Drosophila melanogaster: one gene and its partner. The protein of the gene in region 2 interacts with the protein of the main gene of each other region in a pairwise test. Each region holds a gene or a part of one and is shown on either strand. Other genes may lie near its edges. The genes, in order: CG14424 and CG15296.

Evidence for each region.
Region 1: the proteins of CG15296 (region 2) and CG14424 interact in a two-hybrid assay, tested with the Drosophila melanogaster proteins (one large-scale study listed by BioGRID).

The regions. Positions count from the first base shown.
Region 1 is NC_004354.4:2,925,184-2,928,987, forward strand, and holds CG14424 (uncharacterized protein), read right to left. Parts: upstream 2,076-3,804; 5' UTR 1,987-2,075; coding exon 1,926-1,986; intron 1,597-1,925; coding exon 866-1,596; 3' UTR 701-865; downstream 1-700.
Region 2 is NC_004354.4:10,565,109-10,568,202, forward strand, and holds CG15296 (uncharacterized protein), read right to left. Parts: upstream 1,484-3,094; 5' UTR 1,451-1,483; intron 1,391-1,450; 5' UTR 1,381-1,390; coding exon 871-1,380; 3' UTR 734-870; downstream 1-733.

The DNA of each region.
Region 1 (3,804 bases), 7.6 Mb from region 2:
TTCCTATTTCCGGCAGATTTAGTTCATTTTTGGCATATGTTTAAGGACATTCTCTATTCGTGGTTTCACATTAGAATGGCAGGTTAACGTGTCCCATCTTTGTGGCGCTTTTGTTGTGCGGCTGCCTTTCTTTGCGCCTCGTGTGCCGTTGACTTTTGCGCCTAAGCAAAATTTGTGCCATGTGTTTTGTGGCCGCTTTGTTTGTTGGCTCAAAATTGCTGGCAGGCTGCCACACGAGGACTCTTTGGGACTGCGATTTGGACTGGGATCGGGACACCGAAACCGAAACTGAGACTGAGACTGAAACTGAGGATGGGGATGAGGATAAAGTCGAGGACGAGGCCGAGTACGAAACGAGACACAGACAGGACTTGTCACGTCAGCGGCACAAAGCCCGAGCACAAAGGCCTGATAACTGCAGTCGCCTGATAAGCAGCGCCCCAAACAAGGATCTGCCCATCTACTTGGCGACACTCGAAAAAGGGGTGGATATTTAAATGTTTATAAACATAAAACTTAGATTAATTGAACCTTTTAAAACCAGTGCTTTTTGTTGTAATAAATTGGTTGGTTTACCATTGAGACAACTTTTTTCTTTTTAAAGGTTCTTCTTTGACCCCCAATTTATCCAAGTGTGGCCTTTTTACCCCAGGGCCCACTGAAGACCCTTCGCCACCCGGAAGCACAAGTCCCTTCTTTTGTCATTTCGCTCATAACGTTAATTTATATTCAGTTCAGTCTAAAAAAAAAATGTAGAATAGCCAGTGGTAGTGTAAGTACACCTAGTACAGTGAAGCCCGTGTGACAGCCATCGAGAGAAGGAATGTGGAAGTTTGGATAGGTTGCTTGTTTAAATTAAAGGATCCTAGTTGTAGAACTGCTGGCGACGGCGCTGTGCCGGAGCGGCGGCCACAAAGCGACGTCCCGAGTTTCCGGCGGAGGAGGAGCCCTCGTTGGCGGAGTACAGAAGCAGGGGTATCTCCTCCACGCTGGTCTGCTGCTGCTGGGCAGAGTTGCGCACGCCGGAGCGGAGCAGCTCGTCGGCGGATAGGCGGCGCAGGGCGGCGGGAGCGACGGCTACAGGAGCGGCGACTGGAGCGGCTCCGTCTAACAGCTGATCCTCATCGTTCTCTGGCTGCTCCAGTACCACATCCTCGGGCTGGGCTACGGCAATGCTGTTGCCCACGGGGGCCTCGCCTTCATTGTCGGCAGCCGAGATCGAGCTGCTCTGCAGCAGAGCCTCGATGTTCTCCAGGTTGGACAGACCGTTGATCTGCAGCTGGTCGTGCAGCTCGGCAGGAATGGCGATGGCCTGGACATCCTTGTGACCGGAAATTCCATTGGGTGTCGGGATGAACTGAACGTTCTCGGGAATCTGATCGGTGGGATAGACGGGCACCAGCTCGGCCTCGTTCTCGTTGCTTGACTTCAGCAGGATCAGAGAGATGGGCACGATCTTCTTGAACTTAAGCAGAACCAGCTTCTTAATGGCCACGGCACCGGGGAAGACTCGTCCCTGGGGACCACTGTGGGGCTTCGCTATGAGGGCACGCTGCTCAAAATGCTGCCTGCGATGGTGTCCGCTCACATGGCGGGCTAATGGGATACAAAGACATGGGGTTAGGAAATAGGGTTGGCAGAAATGGTTTAAATTCGCCCTGACGAACTAGTTTAGCTTTTAATATCATCGTATATTAGGAACACATATTAAAAAAAAGTCAATGCACTTCAACAAAAGTCTGTCATTATTAACAAAGAACTATGAAAATTGCTTGTTTCTCAAAAACTATGAAAGCAATTTATTAATTAATAACCGTCACTTAATTATGATTTCGAAGAGAATGTATGATACTGATGGATATTGGAAAAGCGAACATAATTCATCAAAGATTATTTTTCGTCTCCTAAATCACCAACCAACTCACCTTCGCACGCGGCAAAGATTGCCAGTCCGATGGTCAAAAGGGCTACCAACTTAATTGCCATAATGATGTATATATGGGATCTTCTTGTGAACTTGGATTTGATGTGGACTTGGACTTGGACTTGGGCTTGGGTCTGTCGCTGGACGAGGGCCTCTATTAAATGGTCCATCAAGTGCCCGGCAAAGACATTTTATACAGGGAAGGAACATTCACCTGGCCGGCGAAAAGCAGGCAAAACAGCGTAGACACATAAAAATCACACGAAAAACAAAAGAAATTAGGTGGCCAGGCAGCAGAACAAAGTAAAATGTAGCGAAATTGGTGGGGACTTGGACGATTGGCAAATTATTAAACTATGCAAATGTCCGTCGACTGATTTATGCACAAAAACCAGTAATAGAAAACCCAAAAAGCAGAGAACCCAAAAACTCCTAACATCCCAGAGATCGCAGAACGTTGACTTCTGGTGGCTACATTTCCATTTCCAGTTGCATTTGACTCTTTACCAAAATCGAGAAATTTGCATTTTGGGTCGCCTGGAGAAATACGGAAAAATACAAAAACCGTCTGGCGAATTCTTGAGCCAATTTTGAGGTCAAAAGTGAGATTTTCAATAAGTCAAACCGTTTCCATTTGTCAATGTCCGAAGTGGGCGAGGTCTCACTGTTCTTCCCCGCAGATGTCAGAGTTCGAGGCTTATTTGGGCCACATTCATTTGCCTGCCTGTCTGCCATATAGCCATATACAAAGATATTCTTTGGCCAGCCAGCATGTGTTCCCCATTCGGATCGAGGAACGAGCATTTAAATCAATCAAGTGGATCGAGTCCATAGTGCGAAATTTATTCTTTTCTCCGCCATTCTCTGCATTGAAAGCAGGCTCAACTTAGTGCCAGAGATTAAGTGGCTAATCTATCGAACTATTAGTGATAAGCTGCGCGAAATAATGGCATGACGGATTATGGTTTTATGGAATTTATGAGTGTCTGCTCTCTTTTTTGTGTTCTTCTATTGTTGGCTAATTTAAATCAATAATCTTCCTTTTGTTTAGGACCTATGCAAAATTAAAGCTATTTTGAAAATAGCATTTAAAATGCGCCTAAAAATTGGCTGTAAAAGTGTAAATGTATTGGCCAAAAGAGTTTTGCTATAGAGAACTTTAAATTTAAATCACAGTCCGCCTGCAAAATAATGCAAGATCGTAAGAAACAACTATCTGAATTAAAATAAATTGCAATTGCTTTTGCATTTTCCTTCAAATATTACCATTATTTTCGGCTTGCAAAACAATTGTAAAGAACAATAATTTTCACAGAGCGGGTACATCGAGCTATTCCCGATATTAAATGTTAATTGAATGCCTTCAATAGTGGCTGAAATTGGAGACCAATCGATTTCCTCAGCCCTACTCAATTCCGAATTTGGGCCACTGACCACGGGTGGTATGATTAATTTATGTGCTGTATTTTTTTCGAACTCCATGTTTTTTTTGCCAGCCTCTCCGATGGTTTATCTAATTTATGTTATTGCCGCGGCAATTATTTAAATTTTCCACAGCTACCGTTGGCAGTTCTTTCTAATGACAAGGGCGGACTGGGGGAAAAAAAAAGGAAAACATATTTGCCGCCCATTATGGGCGACATAAACAAATGTTTTAATAACCAAATTATGCGAAAAAGAACGCAATGTATTCATAAGCTCGAAGAGCTGGGCGAGCAAAAGAGATCCCAGCCAAGTTATTTGATGCTAATGGAAATGCATAAAAAGATCGTAAATACTCATTAGCAAAGTGTGTGGTTTCTAGCTATGTATATGGCAAAGAAAGTTGCCCCCATGGCGGGGTCAGCACATCTCACCCAATCATTTGCGGGGTCAACATA
Region 2 (3,094 bases):
TAGGGCTGTTCATAAAGTTTATTTCGCTCGGCTTGAAGAAGGGATTTACTAACCCTCCAACATCTGTAGTCCCCGTTTTTATGACCCACCCACCTGTTTACAATTCAACAATAAAGAAGGAAAACCAATCGAAGTTGGTGAAAAAGGGCGTTTAGTTTTTATTTCAAAAATATTCAATAAAAATGCCGGATAATGTGGATGCATAAAGATACTTTAAATTTGATATTTTGTCTCTTATATTAATTGTAGATGTAACCAAAAAAAAAACCAATATAATGCTACAAGTAACAGGTATCCAAACCATAAAGAAAATTCCAGAGAAAATGGATTTTCATAGGTGAAAAAAAAACTAAATTTTTTATGCACCCGCAAGGGTCACATTAAAACGCATGTTAAGCAACACGCAAAACAACTGGATAAAGGAAATGGGAAAAAGGGTTGGATTGATTTGGTTTGGCTCGCTTGGCTTCAGCTTTTCCTTTTCCCGGGAATGGGGTTGGAAAATCCTTTTTCGCACGGCTTGACTTCGGTTGGCAATGCGGCTCGACTGGCATTTTAATAGACTGTTGACAATTCTCACTGTTTACCGAGTGTCTGGGCGAAGAAACAGTTGAGGAAAAAAATGAGGAAAATTTTGATAAGTACGATTATTGCTGCTCTACAGCTAATTCCAATTGGATTAATAATTTTTCAACAAATTGTTTGGTTAGAGTAATGATTCGAAAGGCGAATTCTTTGGCAATCTAAAATATTTATTGGCCTATTGCAGAGTATTGGGGATTCTAACATGATACATGGTCTTTACTCAAAGATTTAACAATAAGATTTTGTAGAGAGTAAGGCTGATTTTTCTTGTTTATAGACAGTTGTTTAAACCCTCTGTTCAAGAGCTCCATTTCCCTCTTCCCCCGCAAAATTATCTACGGTCTTTGGTTTCTCAAATGGGACTAAATCCTCGAAAGATCCATCGCCAGCTGCAGAATCTGGTGAATCAATAATCAGTTGCTCCTTATTTGTGGAAGTATTCCACCATTTTGAATATTCTTTGTGACGCAATTCCTTGGCCTTTTCCACCAAATCCAGACAGGTGACCTTGGCACCGTCGGCCAATTCCTCCGAATAGTTGGGTATGTTTCGAATGATACGAAAAGTGCCCTTCACTCCTTCATTGTAGTATTTCCGGGATAGCTCACCCACGCTCAGATCGCTCTCATCTAACTTCAGCGTTCGTCGCAGAAGTCCAAATACTGGTTGAAGACCATTGGTGATCTGATCGAGCAGGTGGTCCGTCTCCTCTGTCTTACCCCAAACTCCAACTCGATTGGTTATGTAGACGGTCATCGAGACCGCTGCAGTTCGATACATCAGTGTAGTAAACATTATCGCAGAACTATTCAAAATTACGTTTGTTAATTATTAAACTACCAAGATATCGATTTGGATTTCGTACTCACAACAAACACGTGTGTACCTTAGGACTTTTCGAATAAGTCTAATCGATTTAAAATTATGGGCCTACTACGAGGACAAAAGAATTTTACATGAAAAGAAAAGGCCAACTTTAAGAATCTTTCGCCTTTTTTTTTTTCTTTTTTTTCAAAACCATGAACTAAAGTTTTTAGGTGAGACAAGAGTTGTGGGTTCTTTTTAGTTTCCCACTAGCATCCCTTCATCAACGGCGGTGTTATCCTTTTTTTTTTTGGGGGGTGTGGGCGGCGTGCTATAAAAAACGAATACACTATCCAACCAATAGCGGTAGCACGGAAACCCAAAACAAGTGAGTAAAAATCTAATCCATTACTCAAACCAGCAAACTGAAAAAGTAATGGTATTGCCCACAAGCAGAAAGAAGGAGGCGTCGATTGCGGATGCGGAGATGGCGTTGAGGTTTTGGATGGTGTAAATCTTTTGTAACATTTTTGGTGTCCCCTTTTTTTAACGTGCCCTTTGCACCCCTCTTTTTTTGTGGAGCATATTGGGATATTGTATACGTGTAGTGTACAATCAAAATAATATAACTGCTCATTAGCTAATTACAGAATTGTGTTTGTTATTTGTTTGTAAAAGACACAAAGTAGACACAAAGAAAGCGTTTAATTGTGGTAGTACGTCAATGGGTAGTTAGTTAGTCGCTACAGCCGCCGACAACCATTCTTTACTTCTTTGTTATTTTGGGAAAGGAGCACATTCCGTGTGTGGAGCTACGTGAATGGAAATAAAACTGCAATTCGGTTCAGCACTTGAAAACCAGTTGAATGTCGCTCAGGCGAGTCAAAGGCGAGACGAATCTTCCGGTCCTGTTTGAAGGAACTTTGACACCCGCCAAATGACCAAGCTTCTCTTCTCTTCTCTCTTCGGTTTTTTTTTTTTTTTTTTTTTTTTAATTTGCACAACTTCTGACCCAAATTCATTTGTCACAGAATGAAGGCGGCCAAGCAGCAAAGGACCAAATTCTTAGCCCCTTTGGCGTGAGTCTGCCAACTTTCTATAAATAAATAATAGAGTGGCCGGCAAAGGTGGGGTCAAAAGGGTCCTTGGCCAGGACACATCCTGTGCCTGTGTATCCATTCATTGGCAGAGTCATAAAGCCCGGGAATAAATGGGTCCTGCGTGGCCGAGGTGCAAGGCGTGGAATTGCGGCTGAATGGATTAAAGCCTCTGAAAACATGAATTTCCTTGCGCCATTATTGCACTGAAGATAAGGATTATGCTAGATAAGGATTATCTTATTTCAAACATTAGTTGGTAAATTTAGATGTAGTTTTAACTAAAATATGAATAGGTTTCACTAGTCTTATGTGCCCAATTCATTACAAGCATCCTAGAAAAAAAAAAGGAACAAACCATACCGAATACGTGACTCCTTTTGTGATCCTAATGAGCTGCTTCACTACTTTCCCTTTTTGTGCCCACAACTATGCGCCAGCCCAGAATTTTCCCTTCCAGCTTAATAGCCGGAAATTAAATCAAGATTTGCGGGCTCAACTTTTGGGTATGCCAGCAAAAGATAAAACAAAAAATAAGACGAGTAAAGGAAATGAATACGGGAGACAGCAGCTTTCATTTGCATATTTTGCACGGGTCCTAACTCGCA